4 linked regions of the Rattus norvegicus genome follow. The protein of the gene in region 1 purifies or fractionates together with the protein of each later gene. This does not show direct contact. Links are inferred from orthologs where the notes say so. Each region holds a gene or a part of one and is shown in the gene's direction. Other genes may lie near its edges.

Region 1 (5,912 bases):
GAGTACTCCCAGCCCCTAGCTGGAAGCCCGGCTAATTTACATCTGTCCGTCTGGGACTGGGATTTACGCTACAGCAAGGAACAGATATCACAGTTCCTTAATCCTGGCTACGATCCGGAACATTGCCCAGACAGCGGGCTCCCTAGACAGCAGGTAAGGTATCTACACTTCAACTTCCTTGACTCTCTCAGGTTCCCGGTCACTACTAGATGAGAATGATAGGATATCCGAGCCCCTCAGAGAAAGATACCACTATCTTTAATTGCTGTCACTTGCAGCCTGCCTTCAGAAGACATGCTCTAGAGCAGGAGAGCGTTCTTTGGGTCTTCATCTGTTTGTCTTCTTGGTTCATGTCCATATGTCATGTTTCTCTAAAATCAACCTAATGGGCCCAACTCTCGAAAGCCTGATGAGCAGGGAGGTCAGACGAGAGGGCTGCAGTCTGGCACTGGCACAGTGAGTCCAGCAGCCAGGTACCCCTTCCCACTTCAGAGAGAGGTTGTTCTCTAGTTGTCTGTTGGCTTCTTCTTTTTTAGCCAAGCCTCATGGTTCCTGGATCCCCCAGTTCTATGTGGCTGTTCTCCAGAGGGGCCCTGACCCCCCTGAATCAGCTCTGTCCTTGGCAAGACAGCACTTCCTTGCTGACAGTCTCTTCTCATTGGCTCCCTCGACCGGCTAGATCCTCTGAAAGCCTAGCTGACCAGGAATGGGGGCTCCCCTCACATTGGGGAGCCTGCCCTTTACCTCCTGGGCTACTGCTGCCTGGATATTTGGGACCACAGATCAGGTTCTGGAAACGCTGTTACCTGAGGGGAAGGCCGGAGGTCCAGGTGAGAAGGGAAGACAGATTGGATGGGGGAGAAAGAGCTGAGAAGGCAAAGGGCTGGAGTAATTGGGGAGTAGTATTCCATTTATCAAATCGGGTCCACTTGGGATGGCAGGCGGTGGGAACTGCCTGTGACTTTGGAGCACGTAGAATCTAGAGCACTATTAGAAGGGGAAAGAACATTTAAGACTTTAAAGTACCAAGGATCTTACTAGAAAACTAGCCAGGGAGTTGTGGGACACACCTTTAATCCTAGCTCTCAAGAGGCAGGAGCAACTGGGTCTCTGAGTTTGAGACCAGCCTGGTCTACAGAGTTAGTTCTAGGATAGCCAGGGCTACACAGAGAAACCCCAGTCTTGAAAATAAAAACAGACAAACCTGAGAAAAAAAGAAAAAGAAAAAAGAAAAAGGAACTAGACCTGTGACAATCTCTCTTTGCACCTTCCTTTGCCTCTCCCCAGATAGGCTCTTCAGCTCTCACAATCTCTGGCCTTCAAGATGAGCTGTCTCATCTTCAGGAACTATTAAGAAAATGGACACCAAGAATATCTCCGGAGGACCACAGCAAGAAAAGAGATCCAAATACTATCCTTTCTCAGATCTGCTGAAACTGCTAGCCATCTCAAAGGCAGGGCAGAGGGCGGGGGTTTGTTTCTGCTGATGTTTATGTCTGACCTTGGTGCTTCGGGTTTGGTATTCCAGTCTGTAAAGCTCACTTAGTAGGCCAGTTTCTGTAGATGGTGCTACCAACCTCCAGCTCTCCTGTCTCGTTTGGTTCCTGGAGCTATTTTTGTTTCTTGTGATTTGAAAAATAAGAAACAAAACCAATTCAGAATGATTGCCTTTTTTCGAGGCAATTCTGTGCCATTTGGATGGTTGTCAAAAGTATGATATCAGAGACCCTTTTCATCAGCCCCAGCAAGGTGTCCTAGAGACCTCATTCTCAACCCCTCAACACTACATTGAAATCTTTTCTTAGTCTTCTGTGGGAATGAGGTGAATAAGGGAGACACCTCCTCCTCCCACTGTATATTTTTGTAGCAGCATTTCTATTTAAGGAGTTCATTAAAGCACAGTATTTCTACACATTGCTGGTATTTTCTTGTATTGAATGAAGATCTCAGCAAAGCGGTGGTGGTTGTGGGGTAGTGTGAACTGAGAAAAGGACACTTATTATTGTAAGGAAATAAAGGATTGGCAGGGCTGGGCAGAATGCACATGAAATATTGGGAAAGCCCCCCCGCCCCACACACACATACGCACACACACCTTTTTTGAGACAAGGTCTCTCTGTATATCAGGCTAGCCTGGAATTTTTTTTTTTTTTTTTCCGAGACAGATTTTTCTGTGAGGCCATGGCTGTCCTGGATCTCGTTCTGTAGACCTGGCTAGCCTTTAGCTCAGAGATCCACACCTGCCTCTTAAAGCTTCAATACCTGCCTGTGAGCACCCTCGGTCTCAAATTTCCCAAGATTGGAGGAGCTCTGACACTTACGGGAAACCAAAATACCTCGAGCTCAAGCCTAGGCCGAGGGCGAATCTGCACGAGCGTTGTGGACCGAATTAAAAATAGGCTGTTTTCAAAGGCAGTCCTGGCCCTGGATATGGCGGGACTTTGCCTAGCACACGTCTCTGCGTCACAGAACATACAAAGCTTGGTTTAGCATTTCAATTTGCGCTTGGGGTGCAGTGTGATGCCCTAACAGTCTGGAAGCATTCAGGGCTTTAGTTAACTGTATCAAGACCGGCTGATTCACTTCTGTTCCACCCCGATTGCTGCGGCAGCTCCAGAGCACCTTTCCCTTCTGTCCGACACGAATCTGACTCCTAAGATGGCCGCGATCGCTTCCGGCTCCTCCCTTGTCGCCGGCCCCGCCCAATGTGAGCCTTGGCCCGGAAGTGGAAGTAGAAACTGAGGTCAGGGGGGCGGTGCTGCTGCTTAGAGACGGCGGGAGCCCTTTCGCCATGGCTGCCGGACCGATCTCCGAACGGAATCAGGGTAATTGGGAGAAAAGAGACCAAGATAGGGGCAGGGAAGTGAAGAGCTGATTAATGCCAGAAGCATTTCTGCTTGGGTGGGAGACGAGATCCCTCTGATGTGAGACCGACCTCTGGGCGCCTGGCTCGCCTCGAGGCCAAGTGGAGGCCCAGGCCTATGAAGAGTGATGCTTCTAGATCCATTCTCTTTAAATACTCCTCTACCAAGAAGACAAAATTCTCCGGAAATACAGGATCAGCAAGAATGCCAAATTAGACGTAGCGGATTTTTCTAGACTGTGGAAGCTGAGGGAATTTCGGGTCTTTAGTTAACGTTTTTGGTTTTTATTTTACTTTTCACTCTTGACCCTCTCCTTACCTCCTGCTTCTTCCCTTTAGATGCCACGGTGTACGTGGGAGGTCTAGACGAGAAAGTGAGCGAGCCACTGCTATGGGAGCTCTTTCTCCAGGCAGGGCCAGTGGTCAACACCCACATGCCAAAGGATAGAGTCACTGGCCAGCACCAAGGTGAGTACATGTCGAGAATTAACCCTGTATAGCGTTAACGGCCCCTGAAGAGTCACAACTCCAGTCACAACTACTTTGGAATGAGCAACCTAAAGGTTCTTTTCCCCCTTAAGCTTCAGTTCAGTTTTTGGAATAGTTTCTCTTAGCACTAGTTACTGGAACCATTCTCAAGTGAAGTAAGATTATTCTTCTGTCATGTTCTTTTTATTGTTTTATTTTCAAGACAGTGGTTCTCTGTGTAGTCCTTGGCTGTCCTGGAACATGCTCTGTAGACCAGGCTGGCCTCAAACTCAGGGCTCCACCTCTGCTCCAGCATGGTGGCATTAGAAGCATGAGCCCCCACCCAGCCCTTACCTGCTTTGTTCTTTGTGTTTGCAAACTGGTGAGTTAATGTTTGATTTTGAATCTCTTCACCTGAGTGGTCTTTTTTCATTGGTTTCCTAGGCTATGGCTTTGTTGAATTCTTGAGTGAGGAAGATGCTGACTATGCCATTAAGATTATGAACATGATCAAACTCTATGGGAAGCCAATACGGGTGAACAAAGCCTCGGCTCACAACAAAAACCTGGATGTAGGAGCCAACATTTTCATTGGAAATCTGGACCCAGAAATTGATGAGAAGTTGCTTTACGATACTTTTAGCGCCTTTGGAGTCATCTTACAGACCCCCAAGATTATGCGGGACCCTGACACAGGCAACTCCAAGGGTTACGCCTTCATTAATTTTGCTTCATTTGATGCTTCAGATGCAGCAATTGAGGCCATGAATGGGCAGTACCTGTGTAACCGCCCTATCACTGTGTCTTATGCCTTCAAGAAGGACTCTAAGGGTGAACGACATGGCTCAGCAGCTGAACGACTTCTGGCAGCCCAGAACCCGCTGTCTCAGGCTGACCGCCCTCATCAGCTGTTTGCCGATGCACCCCCTCCACCCTCTGCCCCCAATCCTGTGGTTTCATCCCTGGGTTCTGGGCTTCCTCCACCAGGTACAGCTTGTAGTTCAGACTATGCCAGTGAGGCCCATGGGAGGGAGGTCAGGGGGCAGAGGAAGCCCTGGAAGAGTAAGCTGTGAAGTCAGTGGGCAGTGAGGGAGGAGTGAGGATGCTGGTGGGAGGGAAGAAGTTGGTGCATGTCCTTAGGAAGCTGGAGTGTAGCATGCTGGGAAAGACATTCTGTCCGATACCACTAATTGTCCTTCATTTCTTAAACAGGAATGCCACCTCCTGGTTCGTTCCCACCTCCAGTGCCACCTCCTGGGGCCCTTCCTCCTGGGATACCCCCAGCAATGCCCCCACCACCTATGCCACCTGGGGCTGGAGGACATGGTCCCCCAGCAGCAGGAACTCCAGGGGCTGGACATCCTGGTCATGGACATTCACATCCTCATCCATTCCCACCAGGTGGGATGCCCCATCCAGGTAAGTGCGCTGAGCTTGTAGAGGGGCCTTTGTACTGCTTCTCCCAGTGCTCTTTGTCTTGGGTGGAAATAGTCCAGAGTCCTTTTCTTCAGAAAACAAACAATACTTTGTACATGTTGGTGTGCTCCTGTGTTATCTCCACCTATAGCTTGTGCTTGGCAAAAGCTCTCAACCTCTCCTCTGCTTCCAAGGTTGCCAAATCTAGAAGACATTTCTGCTTTTGGTTTTTCGAGACAGGGTTTCTCTGTGTAAACCTTGCTGTTCTGGAACTCCCCCTGTAGACCAGGTTACCCTTAAACTCAGGGATCCTCCTGCCTCTGCCTCCCAAGTGCTGGGATTAAAGGCATATGTATTTTTAGATTTTCTAATGTCAACTTTAGCAACCTGGATCAATTCCTTTTTTATGTATGTGTAGATTTCGTGCTTGGTTCTCTTTTCTGTGTTTATCTGTAGTGTTAAATGTGAAGGTTATGATTTATTCTGGGTCTCTGTTCTGAGGTTCTTGGTAGACTAGAAAAGGCTGCTGCTCAACCCACAGTTTACTTTTCTCTTTCCAACACCATCTTCAATGGCTCTCACTTGTAGGAGCCCAGTCCACAACTCTGGGGGTTTGTCTGTTCAGTCTTCCACTTTACATAGCAAGTCTAGCTTATGTTTTTGTTGTTTGCCACAAGCCAGTGCTCTAGACTGCACTGCACATCACTTCCTGTAGGAATCTTCCTGCCACTGTGACTCAGGTCTCTGTATCTGATCTACTTTCACTGAGTAAGTTTTCCAAGGTATTCGTAGACATGTCCTTAAAATTCTACCTGGGCTCACTGTCCCTGCCCAGTGTTCAGGTCCTCCTGGTGGCTGAGCTTTCGGGCTTTATCATGTTCAGTGTTTGGTGTTTGCACATGTCAAACCTTCTCTTGACACCTACTCTCTTGTCTTCTTAAGGACTCCTCTTTTGGATGGGTGGGGTTTACAGTGTAGTCCTGGTGGACCTCCAACTCTCTGTAGACCAAACTAGCTTAAAGTCACATAGATCCACATGCTTCTGCCTCCCTAAATGCTGGAATTAAAAGTGTGCACTACCAAGGTAGACTAAAATTTTCTTTTCTTTTCTCATAATTTAATTTTTTTTTTTTAACCAGTCTCATGTACCCCAAACTGGTCTCAA
Region 2 (5,684 bases), on another chromosome or scaffold:
TTTATAATGCATCCAATTTTCTTTACACTACATGTATATGTGATCACAGTTCAGGTACAATTGTCTCCCTAATACTTTAGATATAGAATCAGGTGATTACAAGTTTTCTCAAAGAACCAGGTATAAAAGAATCTTTCATTTGCTTGTTGTAATTGTTGTCTCTGAGGCTTATTGTCTCAATCTGGCATCTATCTATCTATCTATCTATCTATCTATCTATCTATCTATCTATCTATCTATCTGCTTACCTACCTACCTACCTCTCCTGAATTGCTCTGCTTGACCTCAAATTAACTCTAGCAACCTGCTCTAATCTTCAGGCTCCTTCTCATTCTCTGGGTCATACTGACTTAACTGTGTCTAGCTTGTTCTCTCTTCAATCTGTCTCTGTAAAACTCTCCTGGTAAAACTGACTCTTCCTCTTCCTCCTCCTCCTCACCCTCTTCCTCCTCCTTCCTCCCCTTGTCTCTGGACTGCCCTCTTCAGTAGCTTCCCTTTTCTCTCTCTTCTCGTGAGAGTTGGGCATATCCTATTCTGTCAAATCTTCTTCTGATTCATCACTTTGTCTGCCACTCAATTAGACATCACTTCCAAATGGGTGATTCTTTCTTCCAACTAATGTTACTTCATTGTTTGGGATTAAAGTGTGTACTCAAGGCATGTCTATATTCCAGCCAGAAGGATTAAAGCTGTGTGTGTATGTGCTAAAGCTGAGGTACACCAAACTAGAAACAGCTTTTTCCCCCCAGTAAACAACACAGTCTCTGGGTTTACAGTGTGCTCAAATATCCTGCAACAACCAGGAAAGCCCCTTCCCCTTCATTCCTTGCCAGACCCTATTTCAATTCTTGCTTTCTCCGACATTCACAAAACCATTGAGGAAAGCTTGCAGTGACTACTCATGGATACAAAAATGTGTTCATTCTTTATACATGAACCTGGAAAACAGCACAGAAACCACTGACACTGAGTTGTCATTGGACAATTTCTTCCTTGCTGTGTAAAAGGTATAGTAGCCATGATTCAAGCTTTGATAGAAAAGGTGTGGAGTTTCTTTAAATCTCTATTTTCTTCCCAGGTGGAATGTCCTTGCATGTTTATAAATTTTCTTTTTAAAAATAGCTATGACCTCTCGGCCAGATCAGTTTATGTCACACAGGCAGGTTATATCTTATTTCAGCGCTCTCCTTGTAATGAAGCACCAGCAATCAACTGCTCAGATCTTCTCGTTGCTTAGAAATTATTTTATATTTACTTGATGTTCTTTTGGTAAAAACACACTCAATATTCAATATTTACAAAAACCAGACTGGTTTCTTTATCTACACAATTAAAGGACACTTTTCTGTGGTTGTTTAACATTATTTCCTACCCACATTTACAGGATTTTCATTGGCTATCACATTTGATTTAGTATGGCCTAATTTTCACGAAACTTCATTCATTCATTCATTCATCCATTTATTGAGTGTAAGTCATTCTCCTAATTCAGTGAGCAAAGGGGATAAAAATGACTACTCTAAAAACACTATTTCCGTCCTGCAACTTCATGTGGCTTTCAAATATTAGAACACTCAAGCTGATAAAATCAACTGATTTGGTCCCTGACCCAATTTTTAGCCTAGAAAAATCCAGGCATTTTGTGAGGATAAGGTGGGAGAGAGGGCGGGAGTTAACCGTTTCTAAATGAGTTTAGGCATGTGATCCTTAGTTTGCTTTCTCCTGAAATCTGGTGAGAGTACCAGCAAAGACTCACGAATCTCTTTGCTCTAGGGTCGAAGACTGGGCTGCATCTAAGGTGCAATCTGTAGAGTGCTGGAGTGTTCTTTCAGACTCCCATTGATTGACTTCAGGGAGTGACAATGGCAATTCTACAGCTGGTATTAAGCCAAGTTGGGCAGAACCCATAGAAAGGCTTGACTAAGTTGCCGCTGGAGACACGCTCCTGTAAAATTTTTCACATCATAAAGTTGGGAAACTTCAAAGTTTCAGTAATGGAAACGATGCCCTACCCTTCCCTTCTCTGCCTTCACTCCTTGACCGCTGTATCCTAAGTTGATCCCACCCAGTTCTTCCCCTTTCCACTATAACCTCCAGGCTACGGGAATGCGCATGCGCAGAAAGATTCTGCCGCTGGCGACCCTGGCGAGGAGATCTCGATTGAATCGGTGCTCGGCTCTTCGACTTATCTGAGTTCGATTGAGGAGTGTGGCGGTCCTCTTCCGGCGCTGGGAGCCTCTTCCGGCTTTAGCTTCAAGCGGACCGCGCCGGCTTCAGGTGGGTTTGCCGGGGTCTTCCTTGCTGTGGCTGGTCTCGGCCTTTGGTGGGATCTGTCCCGTCCGGACTGAGCCAGCCAGAGCGAAGGTGTCGTTGGTTGCGCGGTTCCGGGCTCCGCGGACGCATGGAAGGAAGGGACGGCGACCCTAGGGCTGGCGGGTTAAGGCCCGGCGTCGTATCCTGTTCTCTGCGGGATGGTTGGATTTTTAATGTCCGAGGACCCTAGTGTTGGGCAGATCAGCAGGTGTTTAAAGAGGCTCGAGCTGACATAGAAATTAGCCCAAGGAGAGAAAATAGCACGTTGCTTGCTTGGAGGCGGGGCAGGGTGTACAGTTCTTTGTGCACTCTCAGTCTCCCTCCGACCGCCGGCAGCCTTTTGGGTTTCAGGTGCCCGCAGGAGCTAATGCCAGAGCCTTTGTTCTTGTCCCTCAGGTGAGACACCAGCCCTTCTCCAGGTTCCCATTTGGGAGGCAAACCTTTGATAAACGTTACTTATCCGTTACCTACATAGTGCAGGCCCTTCCTGTAAGTAACACTCTGATGTTCAGAACAGCTTGTTGTATGACATTGGACACTTGCGTCCTTTAACGTGTAATAGCCATCGATAATAAATAGTAACTTTAGGTGCTTACTGACGCAGACTGCTAGATGTCTGTCTCATAATCTTATGGGCTTCATTTTATAGGCGCAGTTAGTATCCATAATTTGTAACTGAGGACTTGAGACATTAAGGAACTTGCCCCACCTCGAAGCAGGTTGTAAAAGCATAGACAGAACTTGAATCTGTATATTATTGGTACAAGAATATGAGTTCTGAATTATCTTTCTAAACTGTCCATTGAGTTACCTATCTGTCTGTCTGTCTGTCTATCTACACACACATAAATAGATTTGAGGGCTGTCGAGATGGCTTGGCAGGCCTTCTTGATTTTTGCTACTTGACCTTGCCCACTTTGAGTTTGGCTCTTGTGACTCACATAGTGGACGAAGAGACAGAAGTGAAAGCCCCTGAAGAGACAGAAGTGAAAGCCCCTGAAAGGTTGTTCTCTGACCTCACCATACACGATGGCACTAGTAAACACATACATACACACACACACACACACACACACACACACACACACACACACACACTAAACGTTTCAATAAATACATTCGTGAGTGAATCCATGAACTGTGTTTTAATTTGTATTGTTTTATTACAATTTTTTTAAACTACGTGTGTGTTTACTGATCTTTTATAAAATGTTCAACTCATTTTACTGAAAAACTTTTCTGGTGAATATGATCAAAATACATCGTATGACATTCTCAAAGAATTAGTAAGTATACTTTAAAAAGTTACTTCATTCTGTAGATGAAAGGGCAATATCATTTAAGTGGGGCTTAAGAAAGAATAACCTGAATAATGTTTCTAACTCTGCCTATGTGCTGACAGATTCTACCAATTTGTAGAATCTTGGTATTGTTCTACCAGGCTTTGATCTTGGGAGCTATTTTCCATTTGTCTAAAAGAGATGGTTATGAAGTTAGGGAGGAATTACTGTCTACTTCAGCTGACGTTTTCTGATGTCAGTGGTGGAAAAATAATGGATCGGCTAATAGTTGTTGGTTTTGGCTATGCCATAACCTGCATGATTTAACCCTCCTTGCTAATAATAGGTTATTTATTATTTCTTTTAGGCTACTTGAAGAGTTTTACCCAAACATGGATATCAGACCAAATCACACGATTTATATCAACAACATGAATGACAAAATTAAAAAAGAAGGTATGTTCTTTTAAAAACCGCTTTTTCACAACTAACATGCGGTTATTCACTTGTGTCTTAGGAATGGTCTCAGTGTCTCCTTTAGTCATCTTGGTGTTCAACAATGGTTTATCCCATTTTTACACACTTTTAAGAATTTTTAATATAAGAATTTGCAGGGATTGTGTGTTTTGAATGTTTTAATTCACAAGTGGCTTCAAATAACTTTTCTTTTCTTTTCTTTTTTTTTTTTTTTTTTTTTTTTTTTTTGGAGCTGGGGACCGCCTTGAACCCAAGCGCTCTACCACTGAGCTAAATCCCCAACCGGCTTCAAATAACTTTTAATTGGGTAGCCAATGGGAGTAGTGTGTTTTTGCTAAGTCAGTATAAATAAATGAATGGTAAGGGTGCTCATTGTATTGTTATTTTATGAAGAACTTAATTCTTGTTTCCTTCACAAAATGTTTTCTTTCTTGTTTGTACAGAATTGAAGAGATCCCTGTATGCCCTGTTTTCTCAGTTTGGACATGTGGTAGATATTGTGGCTTTAAAGACCATGAAGATGAGAGGGCAGGCTTTTGTTATATTTAAGGAACTGGGCTCATCCACAAATGCTTTGAGACAGTTACAAGGATTTCCATTTTATGGTAAACCAATGGTGAGCTGATCCTATTATTTCTACTGTAGTCATTATTGACCGGTCAATAGATTTTTTTTTTTTTAAGTGAAGAGTTAATACTAAGTTATTGCTTTCTGTGTGTTTGATTTTGTTTGTTTGTTTGTTTGTTTAGAGATTTTAGGGATATTTTGTAGCTATTTTATTTGTTTTGAGAAAGGGTCTCTGGTACCCTAGGCTAGCCTTTAACTTGTTATATTGCCAGGGCTTAATCCTTTAGACTCTACTCCCCAAGTGCTGGGATGATAGGAGTGCACCACCACACAAGGTTTATATGAATATTGTTATAAATACACACTACTACAGCTGAATTAACTGTTAATTTATTCTAGTTAAAATGAGCAAAGCTAAAATATATTATGATTTATATCATTGAAAAATAAGGTAACAATACAAGTAAAATTCTTTTAAAAAATGAGAAATTAAGGTAGTCATGGTGTTACATGCGCGTATTCTCAGCTCTTGGGAGGAGAGGCAGGAGGATCAGAAGTTCAAGGAGATCCCAGGGTATATAAGGCTTCGTCTCAAAGAATCAAGTGGAAAGGCTGGTCCAGAGGGCATGAGGTCCCTGGGTGTAAGACTCAGTGACAGAGGATTGGAAATGAGTTGAACACATGTCTTAAGTGTGAGTACATACATTGTATCTTGAGTATGGATTCATACTGCCTTTCTGCTAGGATTGGAAAATTGTGTAATGAGGCCTTGGAGAGCCAAGGCCTGTGGTTTAGAGGATCTGAATCCTCATTCTGGTTTTGCCATTGGCAGATTCTGTCCTTCTGTTCACACTCACCACCCTACAATATGAGCAAATTGAATCTTTGGATTAAATTGGGGATCCAAAGGACTAGAATAGACACTTCAAGCTTTGCTGACCACATAAAGTTTCTGATACTTATTGTTTTGTTTGTGTGTTTTTAACCTTTTAAAAATGTGTTAAAAATTATTAACTCGCAGGCTGCACAAAAACTGGTCATAATCTG
Region 3 (5,799 bases), about 8.2 Mb from region 1:
AGCCAGACTTCCCTCCTCTCCCTCCCCCTCCCCACTCCCAAACTGGGTCTTGGAGATGTAAAAGTCTTGATACAAAAAGCATGAGGACTTGAGTTCATTCCCCAGGACCTACTCTGGCTGACCTGGAATTCACGAAGAAGCAAAGAACTGACTCCTGCAAGTTGTCCTCTGATCTCCATGTGCATGTCATAGCACATCCATGTGCACACCACACATGTAAATAAATATAAACAATAAAGATGATGATTTAACAATTAAAAGAAAAAACAGGCAAAGGTGGGCACAGAGTGGCACAAACTGGGTTATAATGCCTGCACAGTGGTTGGCAGGCTGCTGCAGGAAGAGTCATGAGTATTAGGCTAACTAATTCGGTCTGTGTAGCAAGTTCCAGGCAAAGTTTACACAGAGATTATGTGGAGTAGATCCTGAGGACCCTTGAAAAGGTAGAAGACTCAACTGGACTTGGCTATGGCACATTCTCCCCACCTCAAATCACGCACACACAGTAATGAATAAACTTTACTTTTTGCAACAGCTTAAAATATGTTTTAGATTTACTTATTTTATGTGTACAAATGTTTTGCTCCCATATATGTCTGTGTACCATGTGAATGCCTGATGTCTGTGGATGTCAGAGAACTACATTCCACCCCCTGGAACTGGAGTACAGACAGTTGTGAGCCACTGTATGGATGAAGGGAATTGACGCTTCTTGGTCCTCTGCAAGAGCAACATAACAAGTGCTCTTAACTGCTGGGCCATCTCTCCAGTCCCTAAATAAACAAACTACTGTTGTTTTTGTTGTTGTTGTTATTATTATTATTATTATTATTATTAATTTGTTTGTTTGTTTGTTTTTTTGAGGTAGGGTTTCTCTGTGCAGCCCTGGTTGTCCTGGAACTTTCTCTGTAGATCAAGGCCAGTCTTGAATTCAGAGATCTGCCTGCCTCTGCCTCCCCAGTGCTGGGATTAAAGGCCTGCACGACAAGGTCCGGTTTAAGGATTTATTTTATGTTAAGTTATGTGTGTATATGTATACGTGCTTGTGAATACAATCCCCTAGAGGACTTTAGAGATTGACTGAACTTAGGGTTGGGGATTTAGCTCAGTGGTAGAGCGCTTGCCTAGGAAGCGAAGCGCAAAGCCCTGGGTTCGGTCCCCAGCTCCGAAAAAAAGAACTGCTGAGTCATCTCTGATCGAGCCCCAATAAAAAGAAAATCTAAAGGCAAACCTAACCCACGATAGTAGAAATCCAGTATGGTTATCTTTCTGAGATGATAAAATACTGTTTTTGTGAGGCAGGATCTCCCTATGTAGACTTACTTGGCATGGACTGGTTACCTAGAATAGTCTGACCTTGAACTCACAGAGATTCTCCTGCCGCTGCCTCCCAGGTGCGGGAATTAAAGACATGCTCCACCATGTTTACCAAAATATCCTTTAAATTTTTTTCCGTTACATTTATTTATGTTGTGTTTGTGGGTGTCACCACACCCACGGCATTCATAGTGAGGTCGGAGGACAAAATGCAGATCGCGGCTCACCTTCCATCACTGAGTCTCCAGAGGTCGAACTCAGGTAGTTGCGATTGTACCTGCCGACTCACCTTGCCGACCTGATAAAGTATTCCTTATTTTAATGAGGTTACTTAGAAGGAATAGATGCCTACAAAAGTAAATAATACATCAATACTTGTCAGAATCACCTAGCATAGGGAAGTGGGGAGGGAGGATCTGGGTGGAACTGGGGAAGAGAAATACATGATCAAGAAAAATTGTATGACAATTTTCAATAAAAAAGAATCATATAACAGTAATGATATTGAGGGAAAAAATGGTGGGAAATGGAACTATTTCTGATATTTCCGTAAGGTAAAAGTTATGTTTTCAAGTGAGGCGGCACACGGCAGAGATTGCTAAGAGTTTGATGACAGCTCAGGCTACATTAACGAGTATTATGTAAACTAGGGTGACAAAGCAAGACGCTGTCTGGAAAAAAAAGTTGGAGAAGGAAAAAAAACCCCACATCTCTTGCTATGGAAAAATTTAATTGTATTTTCACCCGTAAAAAGAAAAACAAAGTCTCCGATAGCAGAGGATGGTTTCGATCCATCGACCTCTGGGTTATGGGCCCAGCACGCTTCCGCTGCGCCACTCTGCTACCTACTGGTAGGCTATGCTTGTATTACCATAGAAGACTTTACCTGCTTACAGCCTCAAATTCTGAACGCCCTCTACTGTAAGTGGGGGAAATTGCCTCTGTCCCTGGTATGTCTTCTTATTGGTTGACTCCTTTACAGAGCATTTCCATTGGTTGCTGGGTTAACCAATAAACGCACGGGACGGAGTGAGGCGGGAGCCTATCGCGCAGGCGTTTGTTGGGACACGCCGACCCGACGTTTCTCTGTTACCTTGATTCTTCCAAGCGAAGAGCGGTTGAGTGGTCTCCATTGTTCAGGATTAAGCGAGCCATGAGGTAAGTAGACAGGGTGCTTGAAAGTTCCTGCCGTAGCCTCGAGGGATGGGGGGTTGGAGTTGGGGAGCAGGCTGAAATGGAGTCGGGGGAAGAAGGGCCTGTATCTGGGCGGCCGGCGGAAAGCCGGGCCGGAGAGAGTGGAGTAGGAGGAGGCTGGCCGACTCGGGGAATCGGGCCTGGAGGGGGGCCGGGCCCCAGCAGGGCAGTTGTGTTGATTCCTGGGTCTCGGGGGATGGAGGAGAGGTCTTAACGGACCAGGAAGATCACCCTCCGTGCGCAGTGAGCAGGCTGGAGCGCTGCACATTTTTCTGGTGCCTAGTGTTTGACCAATTGGACATGTCTCGTAACTGGTATGCTGTATTAATAAATGAGAAGTCACCTTACCCTGAATATTACGACCCGTGTGCCTCAGGATCGTGGGTTACTTAGTAGGGGTATGTATGTCAGGTTCTGAAACTCGTATTTTCCTGATGTGAGTTTTGATAAAATCCTGAATTAGAAGTGGGGTGTGGTGGCTCAGGATGCAGTCTTGGGGTGGGGGGAGGTAATGCAGGAGATACATGAGATTCCGTTTCAAAAACAGAAGAAAAAAAAGTCCAGAATTAGGATGTCATGAGAGTGGGACTGGACATCATTTGGAATCGGGGAGAAGTGAGCATGATATATCTGTCGACTTCAGTAGTTGGAGGGGGGTCAGGGTAAGTCACATTGAAATAACATTGATGGTGTGATGGAAACCTTTTTCAGCAACATGAGAGTAAAATGTATGTACTTTTAGGGGTGACAGAGGACGTGGTCGTGGTGGGCGCTTTGGTTCCAGAGGAGGTCCTGGAGGAGGGTGAGTGTGGCTGTTCACGTCTTTGCCTTGGTTTGTTTCAGTAGATAGGAGTTTGGAGTAGATTGTTCTGTTTGATTTTGTGAAAACCACTCGAAGCATTTCTTTTCCTCATGTCCTACAAAGTGAATTTGGCTTTTTGCTAAGAATGATGCAGCTTAGAAATGCCTGAATTCTTTTTTTTTTCGGAGCTGGGGACCGGAACCCAGGGCCTTGCGCTTCCTAGGCAAGCGCTCTACCACTGAGCTAAATCCCCAACCCCAGAAATGCCTGAATTCTTAAGACAGAATTCTCTTGCTTGCTTTCTGCCTGAATAATTTTGGATTGTTTTCATGTTTCAGGTTCAGGCCTTTTGTGCCCCACATCCCCTTTGATTTCTATTTGGTGAGTATTTTGGCTTTGGAGAACTTGACTGGCTACTGCTCACTTACAGGTGTAGAAGCCCAGAATCCTTGTTAATGACGTTAGATACTGTTTGGAGTAGGATTCAAGAATGGATCTGTTCTTTGAGAGTGGGTCTTCTGTATGATTGGCTGGCCTGGAACTCTATGTATACCAAGCTGACTGCAAATTCATCATCTTCCTGCCTCAGCCTCCTGAATGCTAGAATTACAGGCATTCATCTGCTGTAAGTTTTTTTTTTTTTTAAGATTTATTTATTTATTATATATAAGTACACTGTAGCCGTCTTCAGACACACCAGAAGAGGGCATCAGATCCCATTACAGACAGTTGTGAGCCACCATGTAGTTGCTGGGAATTGAGCTCAGCACCTCTGGAAGAGCAGTAGTGCTCCTAACCACTGAGCCATCTCTCCAGCCCCCCTGCTGTAAGTTTTTATTTACTTAGTTTGAGTGCTAGAGATGTGAACATGCTACATGTATACCCCATTAACTGGTTTTATTTTATTATTGTATTTATTATATATTGCAATCTACTTAGAGCTATAACTACAGGTCTAACATGGCTCTAGCAGAGGACACAAGTTTTTCCCGGTTCTTACATCGTACATAGTGCACATCTGTCTGTAACTCTGATTTCCAAGGCTCTTACGTCTCTGTTGACTTCCACAGGCTCTTGCACACAGGATGCATATACACACACTGTGGCACTCGCATATACATAAATACATATTAAAAACAAGCCAGTTCACCAGCCCAGCCAGTCTTAAAGAGAATGAAGTCCTTTTGTGATACCAGCAATGGAAACCCCAGCAATAGGACCATTGTTAGTGTTCAGGGCCAGCCTGGGCTACAAATGAACCGTCTCAATAAGAACAAAACTTAGAAAAGAGTGTAAGCAAGGCAGGGAAGATACTTTCTTTACAGTTTGATTGTAATATTTGTCTAGAAAATACTTTTTTTTTTTTTTCTTTTTTTTCGGAGCTGGGGACCGAACCCAGGGCCTTGTGCTTGCTGGGCAAGCGCTTTACCACTGAGCTAAATCCCCAACCCTAGAAAATACCTTTTTTTTAAAAAAAAATATTTTTAGGACTTATTTATTTACTTTGAGACATTGCGTGTGTGTGTGTGTGTGTGTGTGTGTATGTGTGTGTGTGTGTATAAAACCTTGGCTGGCCTGGAACTCAGAGATCTGCCTGCCTCTGCCTCCAGAGTGCTCAATGTGTATATTATACTACATGGTAGATTATAATTAGTTTCTTTCTTTCTTCATTTATGTTTGGATTTTTAAACAGGGCTTTTCTCTGTAGCCCTGGCTATCCTGGAACTCAGAAACCCACTTGCCTCTGCCTCCTGAGTGTGTGCCACCATTGCCATCTGGCTTTTTTTTTTTTTTTATCAGGGGCAGCTCTTTTTTTTTTTTTTTCGGAGCTGGGGACTGAACCCAGGGCCTTGCGCTTGCTAGGCAAGTGCTCTACCGCTGAGCTAAATCCCCAACCCCCCATCTGGATTTTTTTTTTTTTTAATTTTTTTGTGTATGTATAAAGTGCTTGCAGTATATATATATATATATACATACATACATACATATATACATACATATATTATATGTTCACCACCTGCATGCTTGGTACCTTTGGAGGATAGAAGAGGTTTGTCAGAGGTTGTGAGCTACCATGGGCGTGCTAGGGATCAGTCTGGTTCCTCTGCAACAGTAGCAAACACTCTTACTGCTGAGCATTCTCTCTCTCTCTCTCTCTCTCTCTCTCTCTCTGTGTGTGTGTGTGTGAGAGAGAGAGAGAGAGAGAGAGAGAGAGAGAGAGAGAGAAGAGAAGAGAAGAGAAGAGAACACAGGGTTTCTTTGTGTAGCCTTTGCCTGTTCTGGAACTCACTCTGTAGACCAGGCTGGCCTTGAACTAACAGAGATCTGCCTTGCCTCTGTCTCAATGAGGTAGCGATGAGGGCTACCACCACCCGGCCTTTATCTGTTTTAATGTAAATGATGAGCACTCTGGCTGCTGTTGTAGCTTCCTTGTAGAGTGCTTGCCTGGCCTGCATAGACCAGAGTATTTCATATGTCAGGGTGGA
Region 4 (5,785 bases), on another chromosome or scaffold:
ATATAAACATTGTGTTCGCTGAAAGTTTAGAACAAGTGCATTGAGCTAAGAAGTTATGTAACTAGAAATATTAAATATTATGAAACTAGAAATAGAACAAACAAAAGGTTTTTTTTTTTAAGCCAGGCACATTCCTTTATCCCAACACTCAAGAGGCAGAAGCAAGGGGATCTCTGAGTTTGAGGCCACCCGGGTCTACCGAGTGAGTTTCAAGATGGCCAGGGCTACACAGAGAAACCCTGTCTCAAGAAACCAAAACCAAATCCAAGCAACACCCCACAGAAACCAGTAAAAAACAAACAAAACAAAAACACAAAAGGACGCCTATAATAGTAGACCTACCAAATTGATTTTATTTTAAAACCCCAGTTTTCTTTTTCTTAATGTGTTTTATTTTTCGAGTACAGGTGCTTGGTCTGCATATAAGTCTTGGATGCTGGATAGTGAACAAAGGTCCTCAGGTCCTCGGAAAGAGCAGGCAGTGATCTTAGCTATTCCCTTCTGTCTCACAAAAACAAAATCCCAGTGTGTGTGTGTGTGTGTGTGTGTGTGTGTGTGTGTGTGTGTGTGTATTCCTCTTCCCTATTTATTATTCCTTATAGTGTTTACTATGAATAATAAGATTGTGTTATTTGATGCATAGACTTCTCTTATTTTTTTTTAATTTATTTTATTTATTACATTAAGTACACTGTAGCTGTCTTCATGCACACCAGAAGAGGGCATCAGATCCCATTACAGATGGTTGTGAGCCACCATGTGGTTGCTGGGATTTGAACTCAGGACCTCTGGAAGAGCAGTCAGTGCTCTAAACCACTGAGCCATCTCTCCAGCCCCCTCTTATTTTTTTTTCCTGCAATCGGGACTGTGTTATAAAATGTCATTTTAAACTTTTGTCCAGAAATCAACCCGCACACATTGTTGCTATTTGATTTCTTTGTGTTTATCTGCCATAAACAGGTGCATTTCCCCAGTCTTGCATTTTCAGACTTTCAGAATTACTTAAATGCATTCTTATAAATCAGATTATAATGTTGGCGTGTTCACTCGTGCCAGGATTCACCTAATCCTCCACAGTTTCTGTGATGGCTGTTCCAGGTTGTCAACTTGACTACATCTGGAATGAACCACAACCCAGAAATGGAGGACACACCTGTGATCTGGATCTTGAGACTGGAAGACACAGGCTTCTGACTTGGATCTTGGCATGGAGATCATGAGACAGTGTCTATGAAAAGCTTAGGCCCAGGCAAGATAGTACATGCCTTTAATCCCAGGAGACTGAGGCAAGCAGTCCTGAGTTCAAGGCCAGTCTGGGACAAAGCAAGTTTTAGATCCAGGTGTAGAGCTTGAGGACATAAGACAATGGAAGAAGGAAGACTCAGTCTTCTTCTTCTTTGCCTGCTTGCACTTACTTGCCAGTACCTCTGTTGGGACCTCCTTCTTCAGATTGCAGCTTATAGAGAAGAGCGGCTTAAACGACCTACCTTGTGGGACTGAGCAACTACTAGACTCTTGGATTTCCCATTCACAGCTGCCCGTTGTTTGGTTAGTTGACTACAGACTGTCTGTCATTGCAATAAATTCATTTAATACATAGAGATATTCCATAAACTCTCTGATTATTGAAAACCCTGACTAATACAGTTTTATTAGCTTGATCTTTCTTCCTTTCTTTCTTTCTTTCTTTCTTTCTTTCTTTCTTTCTTTCTTTTCTTCTTCTCCTTCTCCTTCTCCTTCTCCTCCTTCTCCTTCTTTTTCTTTGTGGTTGTTGTTATTTTTCAAAATAGGGTTTCTGTGTAGTCCTGGCTGCTCTGGAACTCACTGTGTAGACACCAGCCTGTCTTCGAACTTAGAGACCAGTCTGTCTGCCTCTGCCTCCCGAGTGCGAGACTAAAGGCGTAGGTCACGACCACCCAGTTATAGGTTGAAATAAAATTTACCCATGGGAAAAAAACACGTTTACACAGAGCCCTGGTTTTTCTATAGTGTTTACATTCTTTCTCTGAAGACCCAGCTTCAATGCTATTCTGCAATATCTCGCCTTCAGAGTTGTATTTCCACCGTTTAGTATATAAAAGAGTGGTTGAGAATGAATAACTAGAGCTTAGGAAGGGATTCTCTTGGCTCCTGAACTCAAGGTCTGAAGGCACATGAATCTCGAAACCTTGTGCCAACGGCGCCATCTCTTGGCCGGCAGAGACGGGATGCAGTGTAGTCCTCCGGTCAGCAGGGTGCAGTGCGACCTGGGCAGTGCAGCTTTGCTTCCGCGAGTCGCACGCAGGCGCAGACGTGTACTCCCGGCAGCCCCCGCTCTCCTACCCCGCGCGGTGCATCACTTTGCGGACTCGGTGGAGGCTCGGTGCTGCGGCGGGCTCCGGCGGTGGGCGGGCTTCCGCGCAGGGCGGCCGGGCTCGGCGCTGCCGCCGCCGTGGCCCATGGGCACAGTCGTCTCGGAAGGCCGGGTGAGTGGCGCCGCGGCGGCCCTGGCAGGCGGTTCCGATCTGGAACGGAGACTCGGGTGAGCGCGCCTTCACGGATGCGCTGGACGCGAGGCCGCGGCTCTAGGCCGCGCCGTAAGGGGCGCGGGGATGCGGGCGCGGCACCCCGAGCTACCCGGGGGTTCCCAGCCCTCCACGGTAGGCTCCTTCAGCCTGCCATGCTCCCCTGGGCCGCCTAGATCTCCCCTCCACCTGTCGCGGTCCTCTTGACAGGAAGAACGTTCCTTTCTCCTCTTCATGGCCCATGTCCAGACCAAGGTGTTGAGTCGCTAGACCCCAGTAACCCAAGGTGCCTCGGGCCTCATGAACGGAGAGGCCAAAAACAAAAACAAACCCCCAAACTTGTTTCCTCCAGAGCACCTTAAGTGAGGGTAGAGGACGTTGTCTCACCTGGCTAGAGAGAGACAGTTGTAACCCCCGGCATGCTCAGGTCTGTGTTAAGGGAAGTTCATGTCCCTCCGCTAGCTTTTGAGCTTCTTCTACTTGGACCAGTTGCACTATGACTGCGTGCTTCAAGCTCAATGCTTCTCCAGGGGTTAGATCTCTTAAGAAGCGTGTTCGAAAACCCAGGGCTGGATTGATCCGAAGAACCAGAGTACAAGCTGGAAAGACCTGGAAGAGGAGCCGATGTTTATTCAGTTTAGAGGAGTTTTCTTACAAGGGCAGATCGGGAAAGGCTGCACCAATGAGGGAGTGGGGAAGCAACAGCCGAGGAGCGCTGTAGAGTATTCTGCAGTTTTAGACGGTGACAAGGGATGAAGAGGGGTTTAGAGGGGTGACCATCCATTGAGAAGTCAGGAAGGGAGGACCGTTGACATAAATTCTTATTGGTAAGGGTATATAAGGGTGGAAAGTATGGTTTTCTAGATGATTCCGCTTGTTCTCAGCATAGGTGAGGCCTGTCTCTCTGCAACAGGTGTCTTTTTTAGATCACGTGAGCACATTTATACTGGGATAAGCTGTAAGCATTTCGAGATAACAAAGTTTAGTAAATAAAGTAACCTAGCCCAGGGTAGCATATGCCTGGAACTCCAGTGCTTAGAAGGTGCAGGCAGATCAGGAGTTTTAGGACAAGTCACATGTGGAAAATACAGGAGTCATTTTTCTCCTACCGTATGGGTTCTCATTGACACCCCCCCCCATTTGTTATTACAAACCTCCCCTCCCCCCAACATGAATTTTTCACATATCCTTCCAACAGGGAACAGTTCACTCTAGTAGGTAATTCTACAAGTCAGAACAGTACAGAAATCTGCTCTGCCGTTGGCTTCAGTTACGAATTGCTCTGCTTTTGATAGGCTGTGGCCTATGGTATCTTGGTAATGTGGATGGGAAATTTAAACTGTTGGAGATAGTTACATGTGGAGGGGAATAAATGATTCTGTAAAATGTCATCCTTTTTTTAAGCCCTAAGTATAAGATAGAAATTGTGTTGTGGATCAAGCTAACAGGGGTAGACTTGTGATTGTGGCTACCTCCAGAATTTACTAAAACCCAGTGGCTGGCCACACTGGTGAGGGATTTTTTTGTGTGGTTTGTTTGTTTGTTTGTTTGTTTTGAGACAAGGTTTCTTTTTGTAACAATCTTGGCCCTCATGGGACTCAGAAATGGTTCTGAGCCACCATTACAGTTCAGTTGTTGGGAACTGAACTCAGCACCTCTGGAAAAGCAACCAGTACTCTTAACCACGGAGCCATCTCTCTACCACCTGGTTAATAACCATTAATAATGCCCCAAACAGAGATTGTCCATCTTACTTCATTATCTATTTTGTAACTGAAGGTTTTACTCTAGAGGACTGTTTTTAAAATAGTGCCTAGGAATAGTTTTGCAGGTTAGAAAGAACCTTGCACTTGTGACAGCAGGGACCGTGGTACAGCTATTTTAACAGAGATGTTCATAACTTGCTTCTGTTTTGCATTATTTAGTCTCTGCCCTTGCTTGTCTTTCAGTATTAAACCAAAAAGATGTCCCTATATGATGACCTGGGAGTGGAGACCAGTGACTCAAAAACTGAAGGCTGGTCCAAAAACTTCAAGCTTCTGCAGTCCCAGCTCCAGGTGAAGAAGGCAGCTCTCACTCAAGCCAAGGTAAAAGCAGGCCCAAGCAGGAGTGGGAAAGTCCACTGAGCTCCTTGAGAACAGCTTAGTTTAAGCTTGCCCCCTTGTTGGATAAATGCAAAATAGTGGATGGGGAGAGGGGTGGAGAGTTGATTACTTTACTTCTCTTGGCTCTTGGAACTAACAGGACAGTTTCATGGAGTAGGAATGAAACTCAGTCGCAAGACTGGCTTTAGACCGGAGGATGTCGGAGACTGACTTTGAACTGTTTTCAGATGATGCTTTCATACCGTGGTCCTAATATCCTCTGGCACTTCTGGTCTAGGCTGGGTCCCCCTAGTTTGTTGTAGGAAGCTTGGAATTGAGCTTTGCACGATAATCAGCGCCACAGTGTGCACCACGAAAGGCTCTGGTGTTTGTGAACATACCCAGCATGTGTAGTCATAGGTGGGAATTGCTCATCTGTGTTAGACATGGCATTGTCTTTAAAATTTCTTTGTTTCTATGTTTCTTTTTGACACAAGATCTCAATATTTGTCCTTGAGCTGTCTGTGTAGACCAAGGTGGCCTCAAATTCAGAGATGTGCCTGCCTCTGCCTCCCAAACTCTGGGATCAAAGGTGTGTACCACCACACCCAGCTGTGCAGATATTTTAATGTCAGCTATTAGCAATTGTCTTGAGATTGCACATAGATTTTAATCAGTCAGAATGGAACATTACTTTAAACCATCTGCTAACCTTCTGACATGAGTTTTGAGGACTATCATCTGTGTGGTTGATTTCTTATGAGGAAGTGAAGTTACATTGTATTGTTTCTCTTGGGCTCTTTGGTGAATTTCTCAGAGTACTAACCAAACTTTTAAAAATACTTGGTATGGAAAAATTTACCTGTATCTGAAAGGTGAAGGTTTGATTTCATTTGTATTTCATTTTTGAAAAATTAAATTTTAAAATGACTAAATAAGTGATTGACATAATGCCCATTATGGAAAGTTAGGGTTTATATTGTGGTTTTGTATATAATACCTTGATGATATGCTGTTTGCCTAGAGCACCATTAAAATCCAGAGAGCTCAGACTTCCTGATAAGAATGAAAGTTTGTACCACTTTAAATTTTAAAACCGAGAAGTTAAACTTTGGTGATCACCGTCAGTCCGTCCGCATGATCTGCCATGGCATCCTGGCAACCTGAGGATTTGGTGGTGTTCACCAGCTTGCTGTA

Evidence for each region. The genes of interacting proteins can lie anywhere in the genome.
Region 2: the proteins of Sf3b4 (region 1) and Snrpb2 purify together in Homo sapiens (affinity purification with mass spectrometry; 4 studies listed by BioGRID and IntAct, with this or other methods). This does not show direct contact. The link is inferred for Rattus norvegicus from reciprocal best matches to the Homo sapiens genes SF3B4 and SNRPB2.
Region 3: the proteins of Sf3b4 (region 1) and Ilf2 fractionate together in Homo sapiens (co-fractionation; 3 studies listed by BioGRID, with this or other methods). This does not show direct contact. The link is inferred for Rattus norvegicus from reciprocal best matches to the Homo sapiens genes SF3B4 and ILF2.
Region 4: the proteins of Sf3b4 (region 1) and Rbm17 purify together in Homo sapiens (affinity purification with mass spectrometry; 4 studies listed by BioGRID and IntAct, with this or other methods). This does not show direct contact. The link is inferred for Rattus norvegicus from reciprocal best matches to the Homo sapiens genes SF3B4 and RBM17.

What each region holds. Positions count from the first base shown.
Region 1 is NC_086020.1:186,419,113-186,425,024, forward strand, and holds the start of Sf3b4 (splicing factor 3B subunit 4), read left to right. Parts: upstream 1-2,554; 5' UTR 2,555-2,791; coding exon 2,792-2,825; intron 2,826-3,202; coding exon 3,203-3,331; intron 3,332-3,775; coding exon 3,776-4,318; intron 4,319-4,543; coding exon 4,544-4,750; intron 4,751-5,912. Other genes in the region: Mtmr11 (myotubularin-related protein 11), read left to right, coding at 1-153, 537-830, 1,288-1,434. UniProt on the Homo sapiens protein: Component of the 17S U2 SnRNP complex of the spliceosome, a large ribonucleoprotein complex that removes introns from transcribed pre-mRNAs.
Region 2 is NC_086021.1:150,850,585-150,856,268, forward strand, and holds the start of Snrpb2 (U2 small nuclear ribonucleoprotein B''), read left to right. Parts: upstream 1-2,249; 5' UTR 2,250-2,277; exon of another isoform or gene 2,278-2,680; coding exon of another isoform or gene 2,681-2,709; exon of another isoform or gene 2,710-2,802; intron 2,803-3,960; coding exon of another isoform or gene 3,961-3,985; coding exon 3,986-4,049; intron 4,050-4,513; coding exon 4,514-4,686; intron 4,687-5,684. UniProt on the Homo sapiens protein: Involved in pre-mRNA splicing as component of the spliceosome. Associated with sn-RNP U2, where it contributes to the binding of stem loop IV of U2 snRNA.
Region 3 is NC_086020.1:178,254,563-178,260,361, forward strand, and holds the start of Ilf2 (interleukin enhancer-binding factor 2), read left to right. Parts: upstream 1-2,364; 5' UTR 2,365-2,470; coding exon 2,471-2,475; intron 2,476-3,253; coding exon 3,254-3,313; intron 3,314-3,651; coding exon 3,652-3,694; intron 3,695-5,799. UniProt on the Homo sapiens protein: Chromatin-interacting protein that forms a stable heterodimer with interleukin enhancer-binding factor 3/ILF3 and plays a role in several biological processes including transcription, innate immunity or cell growth.
Region 4 is NC_086035.1:71,844,591-71,850,375, forward strand, and holds the start of Rbm17 (splicing factor 45), read left to right. Parts: upstream 1-2,350; 5' UTR 2,351-2,465; exon of another isoform or gene 2,466-2,525; intron 2,526-4,453; 5' UTR 4,454-4,468; coding exon 4,469-4,591; intron 4,592-5,785. UniProt on the Homo sapiens protein: Splice factor that binds to the single-stranded 3'AG at the exon/intron border and promotes its utilization in the second catalytic step. Involved in the regulation of alternative splicing and the utilization of cryptic splice sites.